4 linked regions of the Struthio camelus genome follow. The main gene of each other region encodes a partner of the protein of the gene in region 2 in a complex. Links are inferred from orthologs where the notes say so. Each region holds a gene or a part of one and is shown on either strand. Other genes may lie near its edges.

Region 1 (7,059 bases), about 7.2 Mb from region 2:
GGCCTCACTGAATGATTCCTTGAGAGCATTAGAAGCGGAGCTGTGATGGCATAAAGATTAAGACGACCCTCTCCATGCTCAGGCCCAGAGCCTCATCAGCCTTCAACAAACAGTTCACAAAAATTGGAGACAACAGATAGTTACTAGGCAACAATTATAATCAAGGTTCTTAACAACAAACGTTAAATCCCAACAAGTAGAGAATTACATCTCCTCATGTTTTAAGCAACACAATTAACAGGTCTTTCATTAAGAGACTACTATACAGACATTTTAATAACCTTGCATTAGAATATTCCTAATATTTAGTCTCTTCCATTACACTTATCTCGTTATTCTTTTTTGAAAACTAAACGATTCTTCTTTCCTTACCTCATTACTATTTTGATTCTATAACTTTCCTTGTTAGGTTAGTGCATAACCGCTAACACAAGAGTAAACAAGTTAACTATTAACACATACTACCTCCTTTTACCAGGTCTCCAATAATGCAACTTTAGTAGAAGGGATGGGAGGGGAGGAAGAAAAGTAGCTTAATAACATTCCTATTAACAGTATTAATTAGCATTAACTGTATTAAGAACATCAGTAATAACTGTGCAAGAACCTTGAATTCAGTTAGCTTGTCAACCATTGCATTAAAGATACTACAGTTATTTTCCAGAAGTTTCATAAAAATTGTAACACAGCAAAGGAGCAAATATTTAAATCTCTAATTTATGATAAAGGAATACCAGCAGACAGTATTACAGCTTGCATTCTTTACAACTAGTTGTTACATCTGCGTAAAAGTTAGAAATGCTGTGCGAAAAATGGAAAAGTAGGAAACATCCAAACAAGAATCCAGAGGGTCAGTTATGACACAGAGAAGGGAAAAGAAAGAAAAGCTGTCAGCACAGTAAACACTCTGGGTAAAATGCCAATCCCTCCCTGATAGGCAAATCTGAAAAGACGAGTCCAGATATCTGGATCCAAGCACATTATTCATCGCAAGTACTGGGGAGTGGGGGAGAGAGGCTAATAGACTGTTACACTCATTAACATCTACACTGCTACAAATGAACAGATGAGTACAAGACAAATACATGTATACTCATTTGTTACCTTCTGAACACAAAAGTACCAACTTAAAAAAAAAAAAAACAAAAAACTTATCCACAGCAACACTAATTGTGGACTGTAGTACTACTAAGCAAGCTATACTGAGGAGTTTCAAATGCTAGAAATTGCATTACAGTAATGATTCAGAATGTGAATAAAGATTTTAACTTTAGCAGAGAATTTCAGGTACTGTTTCTGAACCTCACTCATAAGGCATTTGAATCTGCTCAGATTTAAGACCATCCCACATTCTGAAAACTAGCCCAGCAACAAAACTGAACAGTACTGTAATGGATTGGCAGTAAATGCACGTTACCAGGAGGTCATTTTTGGGTCCCATTCTAACATTCCTATTAGCAATTTGAAAGAGGATGGGAGTGGCAAAGCCTAAGAAGCCAGAGGACATTTGCAAAGGACACCAAATTTGGTCGAGCAGTAAAGGACAAATACAGAAAAAGAGAGCCATGAGTGAACATTTCACATGGAGGAGAAACAGAGCAGCATGAAGCACTTTTCCTGAACCTACATATGCAGCTAATGCACTCCCTATATTCACAGGGCTGATCTTCCTGAGGACAAAATTCCACCTAGATAAAGGCTATTCTTGGTACTTGAATCTGTCTCTTACAGCAGAAAGATACTGCCAAAGAACACGTGGGAAAAAATTGTGAGTGATCATCTAAAACATCTCTCTACTCACTCTTGAAGTTGAAATGCTTTTCAGTGCAGAAATTAGGTTAAGCGCTTTCCAAAGACAACAGAAAACACATTACTGGCAAGATTAAAAATAACCTGGAAAAACTCAAAGAAAATGACAGAAACGTAGGTGTTGCCTGAAGGACTATTGTAAGAGAAAACAAAACAAAACGCTAGTGAACTAACTAGGCACATTCCCCCACAAGAAGAGATGTAATCAAGTATCACAGTGCTGGAGGCATATATAGGAATGGATTTTATGCAAAATATTACTTACAGAAGTAAGTACTCTGCAATATGCACCTTGAAAAACAAAAGGAGGGACACAGAGAACAGCACCTATTTCACCTTGTAAGAGGATAAGACAGGAAAACCAAAAAAGTGTTATATCCATTTCAATACCGCACTCTCTGAAAGCGTAACCTATCGTTATCCAGACTGCAGAAATGGTAAAACATTGATCCCTTTTAACAAAAATAAAGATGGGGGCAGTACAAGAGAAGAAGGCGATGGAAAGAAAAAAAAAATGGAGTGCCCGAGCTCGGAGCTGAAGTCAAGTTTTAAGAAGTGCTCAACTTGCGGCAGTTTCATACGGGACAGGCGCGCGTGAGGCAACGCGCAGGCTCCCCAGGCCCAACGGCCGCTTTCCTGGGGCGCCTCCCCGCCCGTCGCCCCGCTCCCGCCGCGCCCCAGCCCCCCGCGGACCGGCAGACGCCGCGGGAAGGCCGCGCCCGGGGCTGCCCCGGCCGGAGCCCCAGCCCCGGGAAGGCGTCGCGCTCCGCGGGGTCCCGGCACGGCCCAGCGGCGGCGCCGGCTCCCGCCCTCCCTCACAAAGGCCCGGCCCCAGCCCCGGCCCCGGCCCCGGCCCCACTCCGCCCGCCGCCGCCGCCGCCGCCCCGCGCCCGCAGGTGCCCGCAACCTTCCGGCGCGCCCGCGGCGGCGGCGCCGCCCGAACCCGCCCGCGGCCCCCGGCCGGCCGGCCGGCCGGCCCGCCCGTCCCCCGCCGGCGCGGCCCTGCCCCGCAGCCGGGCCGAGCGCGTAGGCCCGGAGCCTACCTGGTGCGGGGGTGCGGGGCGGAGCGGGAGCGGGGCCGAGGCCGGGGCCGGGCGGAGCGGGGCCAGGGCCGGAGGAGCGGCCCCAAGAGTCGGTCGTCGCCGCCGCCGCCGCTCCGAGCTCCGGCCAGGCGAGCCAGCCGAACGCCGAGCCAGGCCCTAAGAGCAGAGCCCAGAGCGGCGCCAAGGCCCGAGCAGCCGAAGCTAGAACTGTGCCAGTCCCCGCGAGCCGAGCGACGAGCTCCTTCGCCTCCGCTTTCCACGGGGCCGCCCGGGGGCGGCAGAGAGCAGGCGCGATGAATCGAGCCCGGAAGGGCGAGCAGGGGTGGGGGCGCTCCCGGGAAGGTGGGGCATCACCCCCCCTCCCCCCCCCAAGTCACTGCAGCGGCTGCTTTGCCTTGAACAAAAAATACATCCCTTACTTCTAGTCTGACTGGGTTTGCATTGAGGGGCTGCTTGGGGTTTCTCTGCTCAGACTTCCGGATGTCACGTTTTGGCTGTTACAGAACTCTTTAGGAGCGGGAGTCTTCTCACGCAGAGACAGGAACCACTTAATCTTTTCTTGAACATGCTGCTTAAATCTCTCCCTGCAAGACATTGTCCAGGTCTCACATCTTTTATCCTGAAGGTAGATATGGCAGGGGGGAGGGAATGTAATTGAAAAGGCAAGAAAAGATAGATGGTATCAGAACAAAACACATTTAGAAGGAAAAAGATACTATCAGATAGAAGTTAATTGAAAAAGATTATTTTCCTTAAATAGAATGTTAATATTCATTATTATATATTAATCTCCAACATCGTGGATGAGGACACAAAACGTGTACGTAACCCCTTGGAAAGAGGGTCAGCATGTAATGAGAAGCCCTAGGCAGGAACTAATATTAGGAGTTGCTGTAAAGGTTGTGCTGCCTCATCTGTATCAGAGACATGAGTCTCTGGAGAGATTTGAATGTCAGGAGGAAAAGTCTAAGCAAATGAGGGCACTCTGTGTCTATATATCAGCAAGGAAAAAGTCAAGAAGCCCACCTGACTGAAGCGTACAGCTTGAGGTTTACTGCAATAGGCAGCGTAAGAGGGAGCAAAGGCAGCTAACAGCTTCACTAGGCAGTCTTTGAGGAGGTTTTAACGGGAAAACTGGAAAAGGCTGATGATGTGATTTTTTGGAGTAACTTAGTCAAGCAGTGAAAACTCCAGTACCTTGGATAGACTGTCACTGTCTTCTTCCAACAGAAGGCTGAGATCTACCAGACAGTATTAGCATGTGATGGTCAGAGCAGGCTTTACATTTCAGAGCTCTGACAACACACAAACTTTATGCACTCTGGAATGCAGCTGATGAGTTCTGTGAGGGGGGAAGCATAGAGGAGCTGCAAAGCAGAGAAGAAATACGATTCTCAGCTGTCAGGTTTAAATATGATCTAAGCCCAAGGGAAACAGAAGAGTCCAGATGGATTGTTTTGAAGGAAGCTGCTTAGGAGTACATAACACAAACTCTTCTCTAGATGAAGAGATTCCATTTCCCAAATCAACTGAAAGGCACTGAGGTCTGACTCAACGAAGAGCAGGCTGGTTTTGTCAGTACACCCTGATGCAGTATTTGCCCAAACTGATAAGGAGTGAGATTAGTTTTGAAATTACAGTCTACCAAAGGCGACTGTGGCTGCAGGAAAACAAACCCCAGAGGTGAATGTGTTCCAGGGAGTGCCGCTGCTTTCGTCTCAGTGCATGCTGTCAAGAGCTATTAACAGTATAAACTGAGAAACTTCAACTCATTATTACATGACAGCTGAGCATACCTACATGCGTCCAAGTCTCACTTGACCTTCGCTTCACCCACTCAGCTCATACTGGTGTCTGGGTCTGATGATAAGCATTTTTAGCACAGTCAGATATGATTATGGGACACCAGACATACATGGCAGCAACTCTTACCTTTCATTCTGGCATTATGGTTATTTTACAAATGATTTTCTATAATGCTTGCACATTTCCTCCTAGGTAAAAGGAGTGGGGTTTTCTCCACAGTAAGAAATAGTAGTTCTTAAGTGATATATCATGAGAGAAGGTATAAAGAAAATAGAAGAACATCTCAGATTGCTGTACATGTTATTTTACAGTTCTAATCAAGGCCTCAAGAAACAAGTTGCTTATACCTCATCAAGCCTGCTCATTGTGTATAAAATACTAAATGCTTACTGCTATTGCAAACTGACAGAACTATGTCTAATCGCAAATCTTCACCCCTTAAGAATGAGAAAGGATAGGACATATTCCTAAAACCTGTGAGGCATGAACCAGGCTCATTTTCTCTACAAAGAGCAGAAGACCTGCTGGGCTAAATTGCCATGCTACTTTGAGTGTTAGTTTTTGTGCAGCATTCTGAATTCCCTACCACTTGGATGTTACATTTACTGCCCAGTAAACAATAATATCTCTAAGAAACAAAACTGTCTCAGACTGCTGTCAAGAGATATCCTTGGAAACGCACGTATCCTTTGGAAAGGGACTATTGCCAGGATAAGGATACTTCAAAGTTTTGTGCCAACAAGAACTGCGTGCATTAGAGTCTTTTTTCCACTGAACAGGGACATTGCCAGCAATGGTGGAAGGGCCTTCCCGTATATCAGAGCTGAGGCACGTAGAGAACATGTGCAATTGGTTCAATTTTTTTTAATCCAGTCAGTCCTTCACATTTCTTTTAGAGCAACCAACAAGATGAATAGTTAACAACTGTTTTTGTTGTGGTAGCCATATCTAGTGAGAACTAGACTCAAATTCACTAGCCCATTTCCTGGTATCTGTTAAGTAACAGACACAGCCAACTGTAGCTTAACATCTTCTCCAGTTTGGGAAAGAAGAAACATCCAGCCCTTCTTGTCTTTAAGATATGTGCATACACTAAGGTGTACCCACCAAAAAAGCCTAACTCCTCCCAGAATACAACCATCAGCATTCACAGGAATCATTGCGTTTTGGGAGGTGTGCAAAACCATTAATGGAATTTAGTAAAGATCTTGTATCTGCAGGCCAAATGAGGAGTGCTTTTTGTACTTTGCTGCTCATGAATCCAGAGTACCCTGGAGCCCAGAAGGAAGTTTAATTTGTTGAAATGTTGTTCAAAAACCTGATTAAGTGTTTCAGCTTACAAACCAGCATAGAACTGCGCTTTGTAAAATCGTTTGAACCTTATAGATTTTTCATAATTATCAAAGACCATTTTCCAAGTCTCTCCTCTAATCTCACACTACTGAGACTATTCTCTAAAATAAGTGAAAGGGGAGTCTATGTGCATCACAACAGTAAAAATTCAGCAACTAAATAGGACATTTAGAAGGAGATCAAGAGAAGTTCAGAACACCCCCCGAAACGAAGTCAGTAAAGTTTTCCCTGTCGCACATCTGATCAGTCTTTATGAACTTACAGAAGAGGGGCATATTTGCTCCTGTATTCTTCCCAGACCAGCCTTTAGAAGCTGTCACAAAATTAGCTAAAATGAGTAAGCAAAAGCTCCTGGCGTATACGACAAGCTTCTGAGTCCATTGATTCCATTTGCTCATATTCTTCTTCTGGTTGTTCCATGTGTCCTGTGGCTGGGGAAGACCACACATCCAGCCCATGCTCCAGGGAGATGTTATGAAGCACGCAGCAGGCCAGAATGATATGGCTGGATTTCTCCGGCGAATATTGCAGGGTGCCTTTGGACCCATCCAAGCAGCGGAAACGCGATCGAATGGTTCTGAACGTCCGCTCGATGACATTGTGAGTGGCAGAATGCGCCATGTTATAACGGTATTCTGCAGGTGTCTCAGGGATATGCAGAGGGGTCATCAGCCACGTTCGGAGGAAGAAGGAGCTGTCGCCTGTTAGTGTTCAAAAACAGGAGAGATTACATACCTACGGTTAACAATAGGTTTCAGCTCTTCATTCTCAGTTTTCCGGTACTGTAGATCTAGAATAACTTTTTTTCCGGCTAAAAACAGAACACATGAGAAAATATGAAAGATCAACAATAACTCAGGTTTACAAGTGTGATAGAAGACAAAAAATAAAGACACTCTATTTGACATGAAAAAATCCTAAAGAACACTGAAGAGGAGGGTTGTTAAAAGAGAGATTCATTTACTATGCAATACAGTGAAATTATGACAACTGGACTAGAATCATACGTAAAATTAAAAAGTACATAATTCAGAAAGGGGTAGGATGC
Region 2 (7,594 bases):
CAAAAGCAAGGGGCAGAGCCCTAAAGCCATCCCATAGGCTTCAAGTCCTTCCCCTTTGCTTAGCTTATAGAGAGCAGGGTTTTAATGCAAATGCAAATGAGACAAGGGCTTGCTTTCTTCAAGGGCAAGGGAGAGGTGGGGGAAACCCAAATTGTCTCTTCAGTGTATCATGCATAATTTTTAAAATGGAGAGAGTTCTGCAGTGGGAGCCAAATGATGAATGGGGCTAGGCCACACACAGACACACATGGATAAAAATACAAGGAGACTTAGTTGGTATTATTTTACTGGGGGCGCCAGGGAGGGGGGGCAGAGAAGTACCAGTGTGCCACTATTAATTACCAGTTATTATTACTACCGATGTGTACCTGGAATATCTGCTGTTTAAAACAGCGCGCTCCTGACCTGAAGTCCCAGAGTCTTTGTAGTTAATCCCATGGGAGAAGCTTTTTCCCATTTCCTCATTCCTGTTTTTCCCAGCCTGCGTGTTTTTGCTGCACATGAGAATTTTAAAGAAATTAGGGTCCCCCCCCCACCACCACCACCACCAAGATGGTGTTTTTTCTTCCTCTCTTTATGTCTTTCCTTTCACTTTTAAGTATTTACCCTCCAAAAGCGGCTCAGCGGTGGCAGGGGACATGGTGATAGCTAATTCCAAGGGCGGAAAGCAGCAGTTAACCCTCGGCAGGCCAAAACTCAGCACCCCACCCCCACTGCACACAGCCACCCAGAAAAAATATCTCAGCAGAGCTGCAAAATGGTGGCCGGAGTTTCCTCCTGCACAGCTAGCACCTACACGGGGGAGGTGCCAGCAGCCACCAGAGCTGCCAGGGCCTCACTGCACGCGCTGTGCCGCGAGGACGGTCTGTCCACGCGTGACGCGCAACCGCTCGGCCCCACCGTAAATAACTCCTGCTCCCCCAGCTCAACTGAACCGCTTGTATGTGAAAATGTTTTGGTGTTTTGCTCTGTTTCTAATAAAAAGTCTCCATTCAACTCCCCGCTTTCTAACAGGCTGACGGGAGCTTGGGGCCTGCTGGAAAATAGCAGAGGTGAAGGCAACCCACGGCTCCAAGGGCGAAACAGCTTGTCTTGGACCGAAGTGGATGGGACAGGGAGAAGTGAGAACGCCATAAACTAGGGTTCAGCTCCTCTTCTGCTCACCTGAGTGCTCAAATTAACTCCAACCTCAGTGTTTACCACCACGTTAGCGCAGCATTAACAGCACTAGTACCTACCCCTTAACAGCATTTAGGGAAGCATCGCCAGCAGGTTTCAAAGCACTGGAGGGGGCTCGCGGCCGTAACCGACACGCTACAAAGCCATACAGCATCTCTCCTGTATGACCTATGGGGAAAGCAGTGCCAAAGATCACAGGGCATGTTGTTGCACAGTTGCGTGCTTACGTAACCCCTTTGCATGAAATATCTGTCCATCTTTCCAGTTTGCTTGACCACTTGTCCCTATTTTGTCTTCCTCTGTTAGGAGGATATGGCAGAGGCCCCAGGATCTCAGTTCCCCTTGCGCACTGCAGTCTGTGGGGTGAATCTGGATGGTTTCTCAGCAAGGAAGCAGTCCCCTAAGCGTGTCCCCGTGCTTGTCTATCATGCTGCACACGCAGGGAGCTCACTTCTGTTTTCATGACTTAGGCTGGCTGGGGAAGTTTTGATTTTTACTAAAAAAACACACAATGACCCCGCACTGCCAGATCCGGTTGAATTCAGCCAGCCAACGATGGGCAACTCGGGCATCACATTTAATTAACTTCCGTGCCCGCCAGCACCTTCCTAGGGGGCAGTTGGTGTGCGGCCTGCCTGGCATTTTACAGGCCAAGCGCTTTGTGGAGCGAGGCACGGCCCGAACCCCTTCCCTCCCCCAGGAGCCAGTGTCATGTCTGCACTTTTGTCTCCAAACATTTGTTTCTGGTCACTTTGCTCAAAGCCCTTCAGCCCAGGCCCAGGATCACCCGCCTCCGGCGCCCTCGCCCTGCCGCCGCCTCTGCGGCTTGGGTGGGTTTTTCCACCTCCCCCCCCCATTTTTTCTCCTTTCTCCACGAGGCCGGCAACGTGGGGGCTTCCGTTCGTGAAACGCCGCGGAGGGGCTGGGGGTGGCCGGGCGAGAGGTGCCGGTGGCGGCGGCGCTGGCCCCGATCCCGGGGGAGCCCCCGGCGCTGCGCGGGCGGCGCGGCCGCAGGAAGCGCCCATTAGCATGAGCCAATGGGGGAGGAGATCTGTTACCAGGCGGATCAGGCAGATCTCGGCGAGCGGCGCGGCCGATCCCTCCCGGCCACACAAAGGGGACTGGTCAAAAGTGCAAGGGCGCCGCAACACGCGCGCCCCGCCGAGGTCCTCCCCCCGGCCCCCCGCCCGCCTTTGCGGAGCCGGCCCGGGCACCGGCACCGCCGCCCCGGGGCTCCGGCCAGGCCCCGTAACGGCCGGCGCCTTCCCCTCCCTCCGGCTCAGCCGCTTCCCCTCACACGCGGCCTCGAATCTGCTCCGCTTGGCGGCTCCCCGGAAACGGCCCCGTAACGGTTCTAACGGCCGCGGGGCGGGGGGGGGGGGGCAGAGAGGGGGAGGAGGCGCGGCCCTCGGCCTCGCGGCGAGGCGTGCTTAACGGGCGGGCCGCGGCGGCCCGAGGCTCCGCTGCGCCCCGCCGCCGGCCCCGCTTCCGACGGCGCTTCCTGCCCGCCTCCCCCGGCACTTTCTCATGATGTCACCCCGCCCGCCGCGGGGCGGGGGCGGCCGAGCCCCGCCGCCGCCCGCCGTTGGGGCCGTGCCGCCGCCGCCGCCGCCCGCCGCCGGCGCGAGCCCGCCCCGCCCCGCCGGGGCGGCGCGGGCGGGGCCGGCGCGCCGCCGCCGCCGCCACCGCCGCCGCCGCCTACCGTAAGCTCCCGAAGAGGCGCGCCGCCGGCCGCGCGCCTCAAACCGGCCCGAGCGAGCGCCGGGGCGGCGCGGCCGGGCCCGCCCGGGCCGGGGGGGGAGCAGCGGTGCCTGCTGCGGCGGGAGGCACTGAAGTGCCGCGGCCCCGCCGCCCCTGCGCCGTGTGTCTGCGGGGGCGCCAGGGGCCGCGCGCACGGGTGGGCGCCGGAGGCCGGCAGCGAGCTGCGGTCCCGGCGCTGACAGAGGCCCGTTGGGCAGATCGTTGCCCCGAGGCCGGGGGCGGCGGGGGAGGAAGGGTCGGGGCTGGGCCCGGGGCCGGGCTGGGCAGCCGGTGCTGGGAGTTAGGCCGAGTTTAGCCTGACCACGGAGGTAAGCGGAGAAAAGGGACGAAGGTGAAATTAATGAGGGGAAGGAAGAGGAGCGGGAAGAGGGCTGTTCTTTTCTCGTTATGGTTTTGCCATGCCAAAAATGGAAGGACCGGCCGGAAGGACGGGCAAGAAAGGGAGCCTGGGTGACGGCGTCGAAGTGAATAAGACAAACGTATTTACACACTAAAATTCTCAGAGCAAAGACGCTGTAGTGGAAATCCTTTTCTTCCATCACCATTGAGTTAAAGAAGAGCCGCTACAGTTCTTGCTTCTCTTTTGCAGTGAACTTTTTACCGAAAGTCCTCAGCTGACAGTGCACTTTGACAACCTAACAGCATGGAAGCGACCAGCGCACGTGTCGGTGTCCGAGGCGGGTTGGTGAGCTGTGAAAACACGGGTTAGCCAGGCAGAGCGTGGAAACCCAGTTTACAAATCAGGAGAAAAACATTTTCTCTCTTCCCCAAATTGACAGCTCCTCTTTGTAATATTGCAAGGCAGTTTAAAGGCGTATTATAAATCCCATCAGAATTTTGTTGTGGAACTGGGTAGCGATAGTAATTTTTGAAGCACGGTATTAGTATTTTTCACCCCTCTTTTCACTGGTACTGTAAAACAAGAAGTAGAGGAGGGTATTTTGGCATGATTATAGGTTCAGTGCTGCTCCCACGGAGGTGAATAGCAGTTTGGTCGCTGTAACAGTGTAGACTGCTAACGTAATGATGTGTTGGGAGGGGAACAAATATTCTTCTGGTGTGACAGCTAGGCTGCATTACTCGTTAGTGGCGAGGCCCTAATCAAATTTTGCAGGCTACCTTATATAATTCCTGATAAGTGCCAATAAATCAGCATGGAGTATGTATCACATACACCGCAGAAAAGTTATTTTAGGAATGTCTTAAGTACCTTCTTCTTACGTTTGTCTCCCTCTGCCAGAAATGCCACATTGATGCATTAGTAATTGTGAGCCAGAGTATCAGATAGGATAAATTGGTAGAATAGCTCCATCAAGACAGATTTGCCTCCTGTTTAAATGTGTTAAATGTGTTGGCTCCAGAGAAAATTAGCTGCAGAGATCAACAGATGTCTATATGCGCTTTTCTATGTAGAATGAAGACATGATGATAAAAGATTCTCCTTGGGCTCTCTGGTGTAAAAACACATGAGACGTGCAATGTTTTTTCTCACCAACTCTACCAGCCATTCTCCAGTTCTTCCAGAGCTGAGAACTTAGCCCAACCAGCCACATGCCATATTTCTTTGCTTCAGTCTGCTGCCCTATCTGCTCTTTCCAGACCTGCCTGGAAATGGTAAATCTGCTTGTGGCATCTTTGCAACACGCTCTTTGAGTAAAACCAGTGCAAATAATCTCTTCAGGGCCAGATTTCGTGGACCGCTGAACACTTCCTAACTCCAGCTGAAGTCAGTGGCAGTGCTAAGGGTCAGTTCTGGAGATCAGGCCTGCAGCTTCCTGTAATCTTCTCACCTTCTTTAATTCCTTCACAGCCTGCGGCAGGTTACCAGTCCTCTGGTGAGGTTCTGGTTCCTTGTGCTTTTAACCTTGGCAGGGAAGGAGAGATATCCTTTCAAAATCCAAGTCCTACATCTGACATCTGACTTGTAGTAATTTTTGAAGCACGGTATTAGTATTTTTCACCCCTCTTTTCACTGGCACTGTAAAACAAGAAGTAGAGGAGGGTCCTACAAGTCCTACAAGTCCAACAAGTCCTACATCCTACATGTCCTAAATCTGACATCCATTTAATATTTTCCATATTCTCTTTTCTTTCCTGTTGACTTCGGGAAAAGCGTAGTCCCATTTTTGGGACGCTCACCTGTCTAGTTTCAGAGCCTCTTGAATACTTGTGTTAAAAGTGGTTGAATGCCTGCAGTCAGAAGAAGAACTTATCTCTCACTACATAACATCTCTTGCCATGTAGTGTTCTCTACCAGAGGCTGCCATAAAGTGAGGATGAGAAAAGAAAGAAAGCTACTTCACTTAGAAGTGGCGGACTGGATAACATGAATGACTGAGGACTTGACTTAAGGTATTTCACTGAGAGAGATGCAGTTCCATAACACTAAGAATGCTGGAAAGTCTCTTTAGCTTCTGGTATCCTGTATCTGGTATCCTAACTTTCCAAACCCTTTCTAAGGAGACAGCCACAATGCACCCCGCAAGAGTGACATCCTTGCTGTTTGCTGCAGTGAGACCCTGGAAGCTCAGGATGGTTATAGTCACCTGCAGGATGTTTGTATCCCTTGGATCCCTCAGCCTCAAACATCCTACTCGTCGTCGTAAAGTGGATTGGCACTTCTCTGAAGGACAAGTTTGCATTCTTTGAACCTGTAGTAAAAATCATTTGGCTCAGAATCAAGTCTAAAACACTAGATTATAATTTTGACCTGAAGCATAGATGACAAAATGATAAATTTGCAAAACTCAGGCATTTTTCAGAGCACATGAATTCAATGGGAGTATTACCATCAACATCAAAGGGAGCAGGATTGAACCTGTAATGTATAGCACTAATGACTACAATCAAATAAACTTATATTGCCTGGGATTCCTACTACCTTTTGCCTTTTGTGTGTGCACTTTTATGCGTGTGCCAAATGAGTGCAGAGTGGCTCTAGAATGCTACCATTTTGAATCTGTGGCAGTTAGAGTAAATGGGCAAAAATATAAATAATAATAGAGGGTGACGAGCCTTGGGGAATCTAGTCTACTTGCTTCCCTAACTCGGTAAAGGAAGTGAAGAACCGAATACCTTGAAAGATGAGATTATAGTCTTGGTGTAGACTTCAGAAATATTTACATTTAATTTGATCTGCTTGTGCTAACTGTTATTTTTTTTACTTGCTTGTGGTGCAACTCAATTTGATTAAAAATTAGTATGGAATAGCATATATCTTTGGAAATGCATAAACCTTTAGTTATATCTTTGTGTAGCATTCATATTTATAATTTATTTTTGCTGTGTTTGGACTACTGCACCATATTAGCAGGTAATTGCTTTGTTCCCTATGGTTAGTTCTTACCTTACTGATTCTCCATGGTGCTACAGCTAGTGACAGAAGGGAATGTAAGGTATGATAATAGCCTCCTATTTAACTCCATTGAATTTCTTTTGTTGGCTAATTTTCATTTGTGTTTACATCATTACTAAATTGCTCAGTTTTACAACCTTAAACTGTGGATATTTGTTCATGGGGGGAAAAAAGAGGAATCATCTTTCTGCACGTGTATTACATTTCAGTGGGATTAAAGTAAAAGCTCGAAATAAAATATGAATGTCAATTTTCATTAACAGCTGCATCAGAGATGTTTTGTTTCCAAAGTATGAAATGTTGTACGGCCTTAACATTAACTTAGCCTAGGAAGAACGTAAGCGTTTGTACAAGTGTCGCAGCATTGGTGTCCCCTTTAAAAGAACAATCAAAATCAAAAATAGGATGTCTCTCCATTCTAAATTCCCTTTATAATTGTTTGATTCCCAGCTCATGACTTAAGTGGCTTTGTGTAAGTCAGTGCTTCATCTGTCACCACCTGCTGTCATTCAGAAAACTGTCAGGTTCAGTCAGCTTGTCTAAAACATCCATCTACTTGACCACGGCAGGGAGGTCTTTTTCATAAAGCTAAAAAAATTCAGAGGATACTGACATGGGATTCCTTAGTCCTCACTGCATCAGGCTAGGAAGTATGGCTAGATTCAGTGAAGTTACATGAGACTATCTGGCAGTGATTCTCAACTGGAAAACAGTATAGTACCCGAATCTGACCTGAGGGAAAACTGAGATAAACCCTTAATATTTATGTCCAACCCAAAATACACACAGAATCTCTGCCAGGCTCAAGCTTGTGTCCAGTGCATGTGTATCATGGTATGAGTGCTAATTGCAACATGTCTTGAAAAGGGCAGGAAGTTTCCTAGGGAATATTCTGATGGGAAGGGGAGGATCTGGAAAAGGGGAAGGGCACATATTTACTTGAAACACGTGATAAAGCCATGCCCCCACCTTATCTCTCCTCTCTAAAATCTATGTAGAGTTTGAGCGTATTTTGACCAAAACCAAAGTATTTCTTCAAATCCCAGATTCAGCTTCGCATTCAGGCTGGGGCTGGAGCTGCTTACAGAAGCTGAACCCCAACAAAAAGTTAGTGTAAAAACAAGAGAACTTGCTCAAGAAGTACACAGAGTATTTTTTCCTGTTTCTGGAGCAATCCAGGGATGTAACGTAATGATTTTCACTGGAGACAAGGCTAGATTGCAAATGATTTAGAAGCTAATTCAGGAACAGACTTAAACTGATGCTTAAATTTAAATATGTAAGTACACTGGAATTACT
Region 3 (7,343 bases), on a different chromosome or scaffold from region 2:
AGGATCTCCATCCCATGGAGATCGACGATATGTATTTTCATTTTTACTACAAGTTTACACTTTCCTCGCTTCACAGACCCCCGAGGCATCCGATGAACAAGGAAACGCAAATTCCGAACTCTGCAACGGGAAGGAGACGGGAGGAGAAGACATTAGAAACGTCGAAAAGAAACGTGATGCTTTTCCTCGGCGGCCGCCGGGCAGGCGCAACTGGTTCAGGCCGCCAGGGCTCCGCGGGGCGGGGAGCGCAGCACAGCACAGCGCAGCCCGGGCCGCACAGGAGGCCCCGGGGGCGCCCCGCGGCCGCCTCCCCCCCGCCACGGGCCGTGCGCCCCGTCTGGGCTGCGGCCGCGCCGGCGCCCGCCGCTGCCGGCCCGCGCTCCCCCGGCGGGGCGGCCGCTTTGCAGGCCCTGGGCGAGCGGGCCCGAAGCGCCGCGCTTGCGTTTCCTCATCTTTCGGGACACAAACGCATTTTGTGCCGCTGGAGTAAAAATAAATAATGCGAGAACCCTCCTCTCGGCCAGGTTTAACCCCTTTTCCGCCGGCCTGCCGCCGAGCAGCTTCCCCCACCCAAACAAACGGGCGGTAGTAGCAGCATTTGCATAGACACGCATGCTGACGTGCTCTGCCACCGCTCACCCCAGCAGGACTAATTTGTTGCAACTTCTGCTTTACAGCTTAATCTCTCCAGCACAATCGCAAATCGCGTTTGTAAACCTTTCTTCTAACCTCCACTCTGAAACCGCCGGCAGAATTTACCAACTCCCTCCGCCCCAGCCCTCACGTTAAAACAAAACAACAACAACAAAAAAGACCCAGCTCCCATTAACCCACTCCCTTCCCCGTAAACGCACCCTTCTGCCAGCGTCTGAACCCAAACCAAAACAACCGGAAACAAAAAAAAAAAAAAGGTTGTCTAGCTCGCATTTAAAGAAAATGCCCCCGTTCCCGTTCCATCCAACTTATTTACTCAGCCCTCCCGAGGTGGAAGTCGGCTGCTCCGTGCGAAGACAATGCTGACATTGTAAACTACGTGCAAAGGCATCAAGGCGGGAGGGGGAAGCTCCCCCCCAACCCCCTTTGTCACCTGACATGATAAAACCGTCGCGTTTGAAACTCCCGTCCCCCCGCCCCGGCGCAGGCCCGGCAGCCTTTGGGAGAGGAGCCTCCCTTATCCGAGGGAGCGAAATGCGAAGAGGCGGCGGCGGCGGCACCGGGCGGCGGCACCGGGCGGCGCAGCCCCGCGGCCCCCCGCGCCTCGGGCCGCCGCTCCGCCCGCGGGGCTGCGCGCTCGTTTTGTTCCTTTCAAAGAAACGTCCCACCCCCACACACCCAGGCAAAAAGCGTTAGGGGAAAAAGTACGCGGTCTGTAAAGTTTCGGAGGAGAAACGCCTCATCAGCCAGCCTGGAGTGGCCTGAAGCCTCCCTATAGTGGCAGGATATATACCGCCCTCGGTTTCCCTTTCTTTGCCTAACTGGCATCCTAACGCCAGGTCCTAGTGGGAACCTACCTAAACAGTTTACGTTTGATGTCTTCTTGGGCTTGATTTCTTGGGTGTTTGCTCCACTGAACTTGCACTGGGGGAGTCTTCTGAAACCTCTTCTTCTGTTGTGTTGGCTCTTTTATTTTGAGGAGAGGAATCTAGGAGGGGAAAATTAAAAACAAGGGTGGTGGGGGGGAACAGTGATATTAAAATATTTTCCTGCCAAATTTTGCTCGGCATCCGGAGGGGTAGATGGGGCCGGGGAGGGAACATTGCCGGCTCCCCATGTCTACTATCGATTAAGTGAAGGAGAGCAGGGGGAGGAGAGAAGGGCTCCTCCCTAGGTAAAAGAGACAAGCTTCCTGTTTTTATCTAAAATCCCTGTCCGTCCTTTGCTTCACACGGGCGTTATGAAACCCCTGGTGCTGCTCCTCTGCTCGGAGGGAGCCGGGTTCCCGCAGAGGGTGTTACTAGTGTATAAGGGCTTTTGCTTGCAAATCACCCACCGGCTCCCATTGCACGTCGGACGCTCCTGGGACTTAAAAACAGCACCTGGGCTTTTTAAGGCGAAAGGAGGCTGGGGGTTGTGGGGCACCTAAAACGGTGCCCGGCGGGGCAGAGCCCCCCCGGAGCAAGGACGCGTATGGTGCGGGCGAAGGGGTCGAGAGCCCCGGCGCTGACACCATCGGGGCCCGCACGGCTTTCGCAAGGGTACGTTACCGTCAGTGGCAGGTCTTTTCCTCTGCCCAGTGCACTGCTCTGCAAAGTCCGTCTGATTTTCAGAAACATCAGTCTTTTGATCTACACAGTGAGTGTCCTCTGAGATTCCCTGAGAACCAACAAAAATCACGGTCTGGCAATTCCCGTTTACATCCAAGCTCTGGTGGCCGGCGGACTTGCAGACGGCTTTGAGTAGCCTCGGGGGCCTGAAGTAGAAGTCGGGCGAGCTCCCCTTCTCCACGGCTTGCCACTCGTACCTGCCTTCCAGGGGCTTGTGATTCTGGAAATCGAAATTCCACTTCCTCTGGCATGCCTCCTCCATCTCCTTGCAGTGCTTCTTCAAGTCCCTGTTTAACTCTTCGTGGTTCACCGGCCCGAAGAGGTTCCTGCAAGCTGAAGGCTTCGGGTACTCCGACTGCCTGGCCTCCATGCGCTCCAGGGTAGGGCTCCCATTAGAAATGCGTACGTTTGACATCTCCCCCCACAACCCTCTTTTCTTCTGGCGGCGGTTGTTTTTCTCGCTGCTCTCCCCCCACCCCTCCTCCTCCTCCTCCTCCTCCTCCTCTCTGCCTTTTATTTCTCCGCGGTGAAAGCTTTTCTTCCGCTCCTCCTCGCCGCGCTGCCCCGCTCTCCGGCACCTCCTCGGGACCGCGGAGAAGAGGCGACGGCAAACAATCGCATAAGCGCCGGGCCGGGGCGAGGGGAGAGCCCCGACGGCCGCCGCCGCCGCCGCCGAGCCCGGGCGGGTCAGGCGCTGCGCGGGCGAGCGCGCAGGCTGCGAGCGGCGCTGCCCTCCGCGGCCCGGCCGGCGGCTCCGCGCTGCCCGCCGATGCCCCGCCGCGCCCGCGCGCCTCGCCGCTCTCCCCGCGGCCGCGTAGTAAGGGCGAGACGGAAAAAAACAAGCGGAGACGAGCCCTTTTCTCAGTTGCCCAATATGGCGATTGAAGGGAGGCTGACGAAGAAGAAAATGATTGACAGGACGAGTCTATTTAAACAGCGGAGCCGAGCCATTGGTTACGGCGGCGGGCGCCGCCCCGTCGGCGCGGCCCTACCTCGCCGCCGCCGCCGGCTCTAAAGGTGGCCCCGGCGGGGCTGCCGCCCCCCGCGCCCGGCCGCAGGGAGGGGGCAGAGGGGACGGAGCGGGCAGGACCGCGAGGGAGGCGAGCGCTGTGCCAAGGCGCCGCTCGCCCCGAGCCCGCTGGGGCCGCACAGCCGCCGCCCCCCTCTGCAAGGGCCGGGCTGGGCTGAGCCTGTGCTCCCCTCCGCCTCCCCCCCCCCCCAAAAAAAAATAATCCCGTCGCTTGGCTGAAAGGGCTGAAGTGAGAAATGGTGGCGGCTAGTTACATTTTGACCCGTTCTTGCGACAGAAATGGCCCATCGCTGCTTTTCCCGGGACTGGGCTCCTGCGCTGCAGCACCCCAGGTCGGGAGTTCAGGCAGGCCCGGGGCTAGCAGGGGGCTCGTTCCCCCGGGGCGTGCCGAGAGGACGGGCACCTCTCCCTGTCAGCACCCTGACCCGCCAGCACCCTGACCCAGCCCGCTGCAGAGTCAGGCTGGTGGCTCTGAGGGGAAGGCGCGAGGGCGGGAAAGATAACCTCTTGCTGTCCTCCCGACAGAGAGAGGACTAGGTGAAAAAACGGCTCTAAAAACCTCTGCTGGGATTTCAGAACTCGGCAAGCCGGGAAAAGAAAACAAAAGCATTAGTTTTCGTCCTGTTTGTGTGCTCTGAAGATTAGATGAGCCAAGAATCACAGCCAGGGATTTTCTAAGCTACTTCCTCAGCTAGCTGCAGCAGGTATGGTGGAGATAAGAGGCACATAGTGTCCTCTGCTCTACCCTGCTTATCTCCCGCCCCTTCCTCAGCCATCTCCCATCACCAGGCAGAGCGGCCCCATGGACAGCAGCAGGGCATGTCGCAGGACACTGCAGGTACTCTGGAGCCAGCACACCCCCAGGATGCTGCCGCCTACTGCTAAAGGCCTTGACCTCTCCGGGGACCCGGGTCCAGTTTGGGAGCATGGAGGCTCTTCACACCAATCCGTCTGCCCATTTCTTCTCTGCAGGCAGGCCAACCTTCTCCAAAGCTGGGACTGCAGCTGTGACAAACTATTTCAACGAGGTGGAAGTCAGTACAACTAGGTGTAACTGGCTGAGAGAACAGGGTCAACTGATTTGGCCTTGAAGACATTGAGGTTTTTACCCTGTGCTGAACACATACACATAGTGCTTTGGGGTCTACAGTCCTGAAGGGCCACTGAAACTTTGACTGCAATTGCTCTTGTGAAGTGACGAGCTAAACTCTGCAAACACTGGGAGAGGGAACATAACAGTTATACAGAACTCAAGCCCTGGGCAAAGCAGTCTGCTGGCCTGCAGCAACCCGGAGGTAGCAGCCCCCTGGCCTTTGCTCAGCCCACTCTCTCCAGGGTAATCTCAGTATTGCCACCTCCAAGTTCAAAAAATGATGTGTGCAGCTAAAACAAGAAGAATACAAAATGAGATTGTTTTAAAACCCACAAGGTTGAAATAAAATATTAGCCATGTTATTTCTATCTGTTTGCTCGGTTTTTTTAGCACTCAGAAGTTGTTTTCCAACTTCTCTCAGCAACCACAAGTTCTAGCAATTCACTTGCAGAAAATTAAAGCTGACATTCTCATGTCTGCAGGAGCTTAAGAGTTTTCTTGAGTTTCAACTCTCTGATAAAACTCCCTGAGCTGGCAAAGTGGGGCCTATTCGTCTGCTTTATTTAAAGGATTTTTTCTTCCTTTCTCCAGGCTTTTCCTGTCTTTGACTTTCATAGTTACCAGCACGGAAGTGTGATTTCAAACTTTTCTTCACTTTCTCTGCCAGGTGTAGGACACTTGCTTTGCTATGATTAAACAAAAGAGCCAAACACTAAGAAAGCAATATGCAAAATATGTCCTGGGGCTCCCCTGAAGATGCCCAGGGCTCATAGTGCTGATGGGGCCTTCATGCGGCAAAGCCTGCTGATAATCTGCTGAAGGTCTGACCAGTAACTTCTTAGCTGAGAAATTCCCAGTCCCTGCTCCCTGGCTGCTTGGGAGCCAGTGTACGATTCCTGAGTCCATGAGGGCTCCAGAAGTCCACAAACAGTAACTCAGAGAGGCAAGCCCCTTGGTAGGATGAACGACACCGCACCTGGGTACAAACCTCCACCAAAACAAAAATAATGGGGGGCGAGCATTGGGAAAAAGATTGCGTGTGCCACAGGTGAGCAAACAGGAAGGTGACTACAGCAGAAAGGAGCACTGATTTATCTATAGCTTTTGAAAAAGCAGAGCTTTAGAGCAAGTACCTTCTTTTTGGTTCTGCTTGTACCGCCCCTAGCACCAGGACCTAAGACTGAGCCCCCAGATGCTAGAGTAGTAAATGTACCTGGATAATTAAAACCAGTAACTAAAAAAACGGGGGGGGGGAAAATCAATGGAGCCACTGATGGCAGTGAAAGCAAAACGAAGTAGGAGTGGTCTGCATCTGGCTTATGCCATCACTTCTTCTTTTAAATCTCCGCGCGCGGCCACGGCGGAGGGGGGCCCCGAGGCCGGTGGCCGCGGAGGAGGCAGGTGGGCCGGGGGGGCCCGCGGCGCCTCCCCGGGCAGTAGAAGGGGGGTCCGGGGCGGGCCGGGGGGGCCGCACCTGAGCCTGCAGCGGCCCCTCTGCAGCTATCGCGGCCCCCGCAAAACGCTGCTCCCCGGCCCGGGGCTGCGGCACACTCGGGTCGCGCTGGGATAAATGAGCGTAGTGACAGGGGGAGAGGGAAGGGGGGGGTAAAAAAGACGCAAAAATAGCAGGGCGGACACGAGGTTGCGCGGCCCCGGCGCGGCACTTGGCTCCCCCCGCGGGCAAGGGCTCGGCCGCGGCGGGTCCACCTTAAATCGCGGCGGCTGCGAGGAGAAAGGCTGTGTCTGCAGCGACCTTGCCATGATCTAAAGTGTTTTGTTTACAGTCAGGCACCCCCGATGGCTGCAGCAAATAGCGAGAGAGGCAGGCGCCTGCTGTAGTAGCAGCGAAGCGTGAAAAAATACTATAGAGCCCCGCAGTAAAGATCGCGAAATATCAGAGCGCCATCGTCTTGCAAAAGCCGGGCACAGCAGCCCGGCCCGAGCAGGGGCCGTGCGCTGCCTTGCGCGGCCGCGCAGCCGCCTAGAACTGACGAGGAGCCGAGCCCCGGGGAGAGCCAGGCTCTTCCCTCGAGGTTGCTAGCTCTCTCTCTTTCGCTCTTGCCATTTAAGCTGAAGAAGGAGAGGCAAAGATCGGGAATGGAGGATTAGAGAAAGGGAGACACGAAAAAAAAAAAAAACTTGGAGGAGAGGACTAGGAAGGAACGAGGACTGTTTATACGGAGGTCTGTGCGAGGAATGTCCTGGCTAATGGTCTCTGAACACCCTGTCCCCTCTTTTCCCAGTACCCTGCTCCACTCTCCTATTTGGGCTTTAGCACTGGCAGAGCTTCTCCATGTTGTTTTCCTCCCAAACTGCTTCGGCAAGCTTCCCAGCCTCATTTTGGCCACCCTCCTTCCCCAACACTTAATGAGGTTGTCTAACTAAACAGCAAAGCACATTAAACTATACACATAAAGGATGTGAGTTTGGGTTGTTTGGGATTTTTTATGTTCCCTTACAAATTGTAGGTAAATTGGGAATAATACCTGAGCTGCTCCACAGGATGCTTCTTCTAGAGCTGAGGGTGAAGGTGGCATGGCATGAAATGAGCCTGTAAAAGCTGAAGGCTTGAGGAAGCTTCTGACCCACCTCTGTTTTTATTGGGTTGATTGTTTCCTCACACCTCCAATATTTCAGGAAAAATGCTAGCTTCCTCAAGGAATTTGGGATGAGGCCATCATGAGATGCAAGGCACAGACCCCAAGATCTCACCACAGGTCACTAGGGATATTCTTAACATGCCTAAAAGTAACCCTTCCCTTGTTGGCAGAATTAGGACCCTATTAGGTTTAGCAGTAGCGTGTCACAGAGGAAACAGGCCTATGCTATTTTCTTCTACCAAGTCTCTCAGATATAATTCACCAGTGACCAGCACTAGAAAAATGCACGAGGGGAGCTACAAGAAGCCCAAACCCTCTTTCCTCAGCTTGCTGTAGGGACAGAGCATGGTTTCCCA
Region 4 (7,390 bases), on a different chromosome or scaffold from region 2:
CCCCACAAATCACTTACTCAAAAATCTTGCCCAGCTGGTCGGCCTCTGAGTTACCGCAGAAAAGGGGCCTGGGGGGGGGGGACAAGGGGATGTCACCAGGGTGGGGACACACCGCTGCCGTCACCCACCGATGCTGGGGGACACGGGGGCTCGGTTGAGGGCAGGGATCTCCCACGGGCCGCGTTGGCGGCAGGTGGCACCCCGTGACCAAGCCGTGGGACACGCCAGGGACCGCAGGCCCGTGTCCCCTCCCTGGTCCCCCCCCTCCATGTGCCCACCCCCCCCCCCCGCCCCAGCGCTCACTTCCGCCTGAACATCTCGGCGAAGATGCAGCCCACGCTCCACATGTCCACGGGCGTCGCGTAGGTCGACTGGAGCAGCACCTCGGGCGCCCGGTACCACAGCGTCACCACCTGCCCGCGGCATGGGGACGGTCACAGCCTGCGGGTCCCCTCCTAGCTGGGGGGGGGGGGGGGCCACCTCCCCCCTCAACGGAGAGCCACAGCCACTCAGCCCCAAAGCAGCCTGGATTCGTGGCCACTTAGGTGTGGGGACCCGTGGCTTCCTAGGTTCACGGCCACCTTGTCCCTGAAGGCCCCCTCCAGCCCTAGGGACACCTGGGACCGGTGGCTCCCCAGACTCACAGTCATGGCCACAAACGTGGCCCCTCTGCCCCATAGGGGCTTCCTAGATTTGCCATCACTCAACTCCTGGGTCACCCTGACCTGTAGCTCCCCGGGCTTGTGGCCACCTGGGACCCACAGCCAACCCAACCCACGGCCACCTGGGACCCGTGGTCACCTGAGCCCCCACGGCTTCCTGGATCCATGGCCAACCCAACGCGTGGCCACCTGGGACCCACAGCTCCCTGGATTTGTGGCCACCCAGCCCCATGGTCACCCAGCTTCACGGCCACACAGCCTTGGAGCCACCTAAGCCCCATCACTCCTCGGTTTTGTGGCTACGCAGATTCGCAGCTACGTGGCCCTACAGCCCCCCCAGGACCCAGAGCTCCCCAGATTCACGGCCCCTGGCCACACACCACAGGGGTCAGGGCCATCTGGCAGCTGTAGATGCGGGCCAGGCCAAAGTCGGCCAGCTTGACCTGCCCGTTGCTGGTCACCAGGATGTTCTCGGGCTTGAGGTCCCGATGGACGATGCAGTTCGAGTGCAGGAAGTCGAGGCCGCGGAGGAACTGCCGCATGAGGTCCTGGAAAGGGAGAGCGCCCGGTGTGAGCGACCCCCCCCATGCCCACCGTGGTCCCACGGCCATCGTGCCGGCCCCCCCCCAAACCCACCTTGATGGTATCGAGCGGCAACCCGGGCGCAGGCGCCTTGTCCAGGTAGGTCTTCAGGTCCTGGTCCACGTGCTCGAAGACCAGCGTCACCTTGGTCTCGCGCTCGGTCCGTGCCGTGGCGCAGACGTCCATCAGCCTGGCCGGGGAAGGGGGTGAGGGGGGGACACGGCGTCAGCAGGGGGGAGGTCCCCGGTCACCGCGGGGCGGGAGGGGGCACCCACAGGACTCACCGGACGATGTTGGGGTGGTCGAAGTGCTCGAGGCGCTTGAGCAGGGCCACCTCGCGCACGGTGCTCAGGGGCAGCCCGTTCTCCGTCGTCTGCACCCGCACGTTCTTCAGCGCCACGAACTTGCCGCTCTGCAGGTCCCGCGCCTTGTAGACGGTGCCGTAGGCGCCCACGCCGATCTCCGCCACCGGCTCGTACTGCGCCCGCACCTCCTTCGCCATGCTGGCGCCGCCGTCGGCCGGGGCCCCCGGCACCCTGCAGCACCCAGCACCCGCTGACCGGCACTGGCCTGCATCCTCCCCCGCCCCCGCCAGCACCCAGCGCCGCAAAGAAAGAGCAGCGTCAGCCTGGGAGCCAGCGGCACCCTGCAGCCCCGGTTCACACGTGGCCACGGCACCCAGCACCGCCCACCGCCAAAGCCCAGCGCCCCAGGGACCAGCATCCCAGAGCACCCTGCGGACCCAGCACCCCGCGGACCCAGCAGCGAGCAGCTCCCAGCACCCCCAGCTCCCAGCACCCCAGAAACAGGCATCCCACAGCTCCCAGCACCCTGTAGCACCCAGCAGCTCCCAGCAGCTCCCAGCACCCCATAGCTCCCAGCACCCTATAGCACTCCAGAGCTCCCAGCACCCCATAGCTCCCAGCAGTTCCCAGCACCCCAGCAACTGGCACTTCATAGCTCCCAGCGCCCCAGAGACCAGCATCCCAGAGCACCCTGCGGACCCCAGCACCCCACAGACCCGAACACCCCCAGCTCCCAGCACCCAGTGGCTCCCAGCACCCTATAGCTCCCAGCACCCTGCAGCACCCTGTAGCACCCCATTGCTCCCAGCACCCTGCAGCTCCCGGCACCCTGCAGCACCCCACAAGCCCCCAGCACCCACAGCACCCCATGGAGCCCCCCACCCCACCCCGGCGACCCTACCACAACACGCCCCCTCTCGCCAGCGCCACGCGTGCAGCGGGGACCCGCGGGGGAGGCTCTGCCCCTCGTGCAAGAGGCCGGTGCACGGAGAAAGGCGCGTGCAAAGGCGGGGGGGGAGGGGGGGAAGGGGCCGCCCGCGTGCAAGGCGCTCGTGCAAGGCGGGAGCCGCCGGCGTGCAGCGAGCGGGGCCGGGGCAAGGCGCGGGTGCCACGCGTGCACGGGGCCGGAGGCGGAGGGGGGAAGGTCCCACGCGTGCAGGGGGCCGGTGCGAGGGGGAGGCACCGGGGGGGGGAGGGGAACCCGGCGCGCGCAGGGGGCTCGTGCAAAGGGGGCCGCGTCGCGTGCAAGGGGCCCATGCAAGGGGCCGCGCGCGTGCAAGGGGCCCGTGCAAGGCGCTCGTGCAAGGGGCCGCGCCCGTGCAAAGGGATCCGCGCAAGGGGCCGCGCGGGCGCGCACGGGGGCCCCGCGACTCACCCGAGCGGCAGCGCGCGGGTCTCGGCGGCGGGGCCCGGGCCGGGGGCGGGGCTGGAGGACCGGAACCAGCGAGACGAGCCGGCCGGAAGGGCCACGGTTGGGGGGGGAGGGAGGAGAGAGAGGGACGCCTGTGTCCCCCCCCCACTCCCCAACCGGGCTTTATTTGCAGGGAGGGGCGAGGGGAGGGGCGAGGGGAGGGATGCTGGGTGCCGCTGGGAGAAGGGTTCCTTCCTCCCTCCCCGGCTGCCCGGGCTGGTGGGACCCCCCCCCCCAAAACCCCGGACGCCTGGGCTCCCCGCCCAGAGGCTGGGGGGGGGGGGGGCGATGGAGGGGAAGAGGGCGGACTCGAACCCGCGGCCCCGAGCGCTGCTCGACCCCCCCCCCCAACCGGCGCCGCGGCGCGACAGCGCCCCCTGGCGGAGAGCGGCGGCAGCGCGCCCGGCCCCGCGCGCCTTGGTGGGGGGGGGGCGCCCCCTCCCCTGCACCACAACCCCTAGGACCCCCCACCCCCACCCCGGGGAGGGGACCCCTGAGACCCCTCCCTCCCGGTCTGGCTCCCCCCCTCCCGAAGCTCCACCCCCGGGGCACCGGGACCCCCCCACCCCCGCGGGGATCGCGACCCCCAGGTGTCCGTCTCCGCCCCCCCCCCCAACGCGGAGCCGTCACCGCGGCCCGGGCTCTGTCCGTGGTGCTGAAACGGCCCCGGCGGCCGGCGGGGCCCACGGGGGACCGGCCCCACGTGGGGGAGACCAGGACTGGGGGGGGGGGAGACCGGGTTCACGGCGGGGCACCGGGATCACGGGGGGGGCACCGGCCCCATGTGGGGGCACCAGGACTGGGGGGAGACCGGGTTCACGGGGGGACACGGGAACCGGGGGGGAGACCGAGCTCAGAGTGGGGCACTGGGACCGGGGGGGGGAACCAGCCCCACAGGGGGACATGAAGACCGGGGTGGTGGGGGGGGGGGAACACCGGGCTCACGGTGGGGGCACAGGGGACACTGAGAGCACGGGAGAGGGGGACCTGGACCACGGGGGGTGGGGGGCACCAGGACCACGGAGGACACCAGGCCTGGGTGGGTCCCCCTGCTCCCCAGCAGGGATCCAGGCCCCCCCCCACCCCAGGTGCTGGGTACCGGGGGGGGGGGGCTGAACCCCACAGCTGGGCACAGCTGGGTGCACATGCGCAGAGGCAGCACCGTCCCTCATGCAGGGGCACACGCGTGTGCGTACGGCTCCCGTGCAGGGACACACGCGTGTGCGTACGGCCCCCCCAGCCACGGCCCCGTGCCCAGCGGATGAAGGCGCTGGGGCCCCCCCCACGGGGCAAAGGGCTCCGGGCCGGGGCCCTCACCGTGCCCTCACCGCCACGCACGGCTGGGTCGGCGTCAAGAGGCGCCGGGGGGGGCACCCCACGGGGGTCCAGAGTCCCCCGAGCGTTGACGTCAAACGCTGCGTCCCCACGGGGGACGTCAACTCGCTCGGAAGAGGCGCAGCCGGGCGTCGCGAACAACGCGGTGGTGGGGGGTGGGTGCAACACCGGAGCGGGCGGCAAGCCATGCCCTCGCCCTCTCCGGGGTGGGGGGGGGCCGCCCTTCGCCCACCACCGTCTGGGCCGCGCGGGTGCCGCCCGGCGGGCGCGGGAACGAGTCACGTCCTGGCACCCCGGCGGGACGGCGGGCATGCCGGGGCAGGAGGGCGCGCGGTGCGCCCGCCCCGCCGGAGCGGGCGGCGGACGGCAGCCCCGGGGTGCGCAACGGGCCCTTGAATCACGCCGGAAAGCCGGGGCGGGCGACGGGCTGGGGAAGGGTGGTGGCGGGTGGGGGGATGTGAAGGCAACGGCCCTCCCCCCCCCCCCAACTTCCCCAATGCAGGCACCGAGTCGCTCGCCATCCCCTATAACCCCTTTTATTACATAAATAAACCTTTAAATAGCCCGGCGGCGCTCGGAGCGTCCCCGCCGGAGGGTGGGAGACACGGACGGCCCCGACCGGCCGGGCTCCGCCGTGCGTTTAGGCGGGTGCCGCAGACGGGAAGGGTCTCCTTAAGAGCAATAAATAGGGGCCCGGTGGGCTTAAATAAGGGGGATTTTGCAGCCAGCCAGACCAGCAGCCGGGGCGGCAGGCGCCGCGGGGTGCCGCCGCGCCGGCCCGCGCTCGGGGCGAGGGGCACCCGCGGCCCCGCTCAGCGGCTCAGGAAGCGCAGGTTGATGTCCGTCTCCGGTACGAGCAGCGTCCGCGTCATGGGCCGCACGGGGCGCCCGCCGGGTTCGGGTTTCACCTCGAAACGCTGCAGGATCTGCAAAAGAGGCGGGGAAGGCGGGTGAGGAGGGTGGCGGGTGGCGGCGGGGGGGGGGTGGCGGCGGGTGCCGGGTCCCGCTCTCACCTGCGCCAAGGCCAGGTGGATCTCCAGCTCGGCGACGCGGCGGCCGACGCAGCTGCGTTTGCCGACGCCGAAGGGCAGCGAGGCGAAGGGGTGGTGGCCGGGTTGGCGGCTCAGCCAACGCTCGGGCCGGAAGGCGTCGGGCGCCGGGAAGAGGCGGGCGTCGCGGGACGTGGCGTAGTGGCACAGCGTGATGAGGGTCTGCGGGCAGAGTCGAGAGGGGGCTGAGCCGCGGTCGGAGCGGGTGCTGAGCCGTCCCCGCCGGCTGGCCGCCCCGGCTCACCTTGCGGGGGATCAGGTAGTCGCCCAGGAGGATGTCGCGGTCGGAGATGACGCGGGCGTTGCCGGGGATGACCGGGTAGAGCCTGCGGCGGGAGGGGAGACGCCGGGGGTTGGTGAAGGTCGGGGGCGCACCGGTGGGCGCGAACCCCGGCGCCGGCCGCCGCGCTCACCTGAGCGTCTCCTTCACCACGGCCTTGAGCAGGGGCATGCGGGCGAGCTGGGCGGCCGAGGGGCCGCGGCCGTCGCCCAGCGCCGCCGAGACCTCCCGGTGCAGGGCCGCCTGCACGTCGGGGTGCCGCGACAGCTCGTACAGGCTCCACGACAGCGTGCTGGAGATCTGCGGGCGGCAAGGAGCGGCGCTGAGCCCGGGGCGGCCCGACGGGACGCTACGGGCACGTAGGGAGGGACGGCGGCGCCCGGCATCTCACCGTGTCCACGCCGGCCAGCAGCAGCTCGGTGACGTTGCCGTAGATGACCTTCACGGGCACCTTCTCCCGGGCCAGGTGGTAGGTGAGGCAGGTGCCGTCGAGCCGCTCGGCCGCCTCGGCCACGCGCCGGTCCACGTGGTCCTTGGCTGGTGGGGGAGCAGGAGGTGCCGTGAGCGGCGCGGCCGGGTGGCGGGGCCACCGGCGTGCCCCCCGCCCGGCCACCCCGGCCCTCACCGAAGGCGAACATGTAGTCCCAGGCGTCGCAGAAGGTGCGCCAGGGCTTGGGGAAGAGGCGGTGCAGGAAGCGCGGCATGGCCATGGTGAGCAGCGTGGTCCCGAACATGGTGTTGACGGCGCGGATGAAGGTCTCCGTGTCCTGCGGCACCTCCGGCTCCAGGCAGCCCAGGCGGGACCCGAAGAGGACGGAGGAGATGCCTGCGGCAGCCGGTGGGTGGAAGCAGTTAGATGGGGGCCGCGGGGACATGGGAGCCTCGGGGGACACGGGATCACCTGGGGGAAACGGGAGCCCAAGGGGTAGACAGGAGCCTCTGGGGGACATGGGTTCACCTGGTGACATGGGTGGCCCTGGGGGACACAGGTGGCCCGGGGGGGGACAGATCAGCCCCTGGGGACATGGGAGCCTTGGGGGACACGGGATCACCTGGGGGACACGGGAGCCCAAGGGGTAGACAGGAGTCTCTGGGGGACATGGGTGGCCCTGGGAGACACAGATGGCCCTGCGGGGGGGACAGATCAGCTCCTGGGGACATGGGAGCCGCAGGTAGCTGGGGGGGGGAAGGACACACGGCCCCAGGCAGAGCTGGCCGGGTGCCGGCGGTGACGTCCCCCATCCCCGACCCACCTTCCAAGCCAAACTTGTAAAACTCGGTGGCCACGTCGGGGACGAGCTGCTGGGGGTGACGGTCGCGCTGGCGCTGCAGGCGCCGCAGCAGGTCGGCCACGACGGCCTCGAGGGCGCCCGCGTAGGCCTCGGCCGCCCGCGGCCGCAGCAGGTGCCGGCCCAGCAGGCTGCGCATGCGCTGCCACTCCTCGCCCTCCCTGCCGGGGCACATGGCACACGCGTGACACACGGCACGCACATGACACACGGCACACGCGTGCAAATCGCCTGCAGACGGGTCGGCATGCAGCCCGTGCACGCATGCAAAGGTGCATGCATGCAAAACGCCTGGAAACGTGTTTGCATGCAACCCATGCACACGTGTGCAAAGCTGCACGTGTGCAGCACGCCCGCAAACGCGTTTGCATGCACAAACGCGTGCACACACGTGCAAAGCTGCCGGGCTGCGCGCGTGCCGGACGCCTGCAACCGTGCGTGCACGCCCAAAGCCGCGCGCAAAGGCGCGGGCGCACG

What was found.
Region 1: the proteins of CCND1 (region 2) and AMBRA1 are in contact, whole or in part, in a cryo-EM structure (PDB 9IVD), measured with the Homo sapiens proteins. The link is inferred for Struthio camelus from reciprocal best matches to the Homo sapiens genes CCND1 and AMBRA1. Residues at the interface, in NP_444284.1 of Homo sapiens: Thr286, Pro287, Thr288, Asp289, Val290, Arg291, Val293, Asp294, Ile295; in NP_001354397.1 of Homo sapiens: Arg54, Ser55, Phe57, Val73, His75, Arg96, Thr97, Trp99, Leu116, Ala139, Arg184, Ile945, Asn1012, Asn1029.
Region 3: the proteins of CCND1 (region 2) and CDKN1B are in contact, whole or in part, in a crystal structure (PDB 6P8F), measured with the Homo sapiens proteins. The link is inferred for Struthio camelus from reciprocal best matches to the Homo sapiens genes CCND1 and CDKN1B. Residues at the interface, in NP_444284.1 of Homo sapiens: Met56, Ile59, Val60, Trp63, Glu66, Val67, Glu70, Glu92, Lys95, Lys96, Ser97, Arg98, Leu99, Gln100, Leu101, Ile126, Tyr127, Thr128, Asp129, Ser131, Arg133, Glu136, Gln139, Met140, Leu142, Leu143, Asn146, Lys147; in NP_004055.1 of Homo sapiens: Lys25, Pro26, Ser27, Ala28, Cys29, Arg30, Asn31, Leu32, Phe33, Pro35, Val36, His38, Glu39, Glu40, Leu41, Thr42, Asp44, Leu45, His48, Cys49, Met52.
Region 4: the proteins of CCND1 (region 2) and CDK4 are in contact, whole or in part, in a crystal structure (PDB 2W96), measured with the Homo sapiens proteins. The link is inferred for Struthio camelus from reciprocal best matches to the Homo sapiens genes CCND1 and CDK4. Residues at the interface, in NP_444284.1 of Homo sapiens: Leu6, Cys7, Cys8, Glu9, Val10, Thr12, Ile13, Ala30, Lys33, Ala34, Thr37, Phe108, Lys112, Met113, Glu115, Pro118, Leu119, Thr120, Ala121, Leu138, Gln139, Glu141, Leu142, Val145, Asn146, Lys149, Trp150, Asn151, Leu152, Ala153; in NP_000066.1 of Homo sapiens: Gly45, Gly48, Leu49, Ile51, Thr53, Val54, Arg55, Val57, Ala58, Leu59, Arg61, Arg62, Ala65, Phe66, Asp76, Val77, Cys78, Ala79, Arg82, Ile87, Val89, Asp129, His132, Ala133, Asn134, Cys135, Ser285, Phe287, Arg288.

Annotation. Positions count from the first base shown.
Region 1 is NC_090946.1:39,797,727-39,804,785, reverse strand, and holds the start of AMBRA1 (activating molecule in BECN1-regulated autophagy protein 1), read right to left. Parts: upstream 3,010-7,059; 5' UTR 2,853-3,009; intron 2,171-2,852; exon of another isoform or gene 2,075-2,170; intron 1-2,074. Other genes in the region: putative nuclease HARBI1, read right to left, coding at 6,336-6,712. UniProt on the Homo sapiens protein: Substrate-recognition component of a DCX (DDB1-CUL4-X-box) E3 ubiquitin-protein ligase complex involved in cell cycle control and autophagy.
Region 2 is NC_090946.1:32,623,216-32,630,809, reverse strand, and holds the start of CCND1 (G1/S-specific cyclin-D1), read right to left. Parts: upstream 3,002-7,594; 5' UTR 2,882-3,001; exon of another isoform or gene 2,824-2,881; intron 2,655-2,823; exon of another isoform or gene 2,477-2,654; intron 2,260-2,476; exon of another isoform or gene 1,348-2,259; 5' UTR 1,252-1,347; coding exon 1,239-1,251; exon of another isoform or gene 369-1,238; intron 1-368. UniProt on the Homo sapiens protein: Regulatory component of the cyclin D1-CDK4 (DC) complex that phosphorylates and inhibits members of the retinoblastoma (RB) protein family including RB1 and regulates the cell-cycle during G(1)/S transition.
Region 3 is NC_090942.1:81,531,340-81,538,682, reverse strand, and holds the start of CDKN1B (cyclin-dependent kinase inhibitor 1B), read right to left. Parts: upstream 3,004-7,343; 5' UTR 2,680-3,003; coding exon 2,205-2,679; intron 1,643-2,204; coding exon 1,521-1,642; 3' UTR 1,512-1,520; intron 121-1,511; 3' UTR 1-120. UniProt on the Homo sapiens protein: Important regulator of cell cycle progression. Inhibits the kinase activity of CDK2 bound to cyclin A, but has little inhibitory activity on CDK2 bound to SPDYA. Involved in G1 arrest. Potent inhibitor of cyclin E- and cyclin A-CDK2 complexes.
Region 4 is NC_090969.1:2,238,111-2,245,500, reverse strand, and holds the start of CDK4 (cyclin-dependent kinase 4), read right to left. Parts: upstream 3,005-7,390; 5' UTR 2,925-3,004; intron 1,781-2,924; 5' UTR 1,747-1,780; coding exon 1,529-1,746; intron 1,435-1,528; coding exon 1,299-1,434; intron 1,211-1,298; coding exon 1,043-1,210; intron 414-1,042; coding exon 304-413; intron 69-303; coding exon 18-68; intron 1-17. Other genes in the region: CYP27B1 (25-hydroxyvitamin D-1 alpha hydroxylase, mitochondrial), read right to left, coding at 5,108-5,221, 5,309-5,506, 5,589-5,670, 5,758-5,924, 6,016-6,161, 6,250-6,450, 6,878-7,074.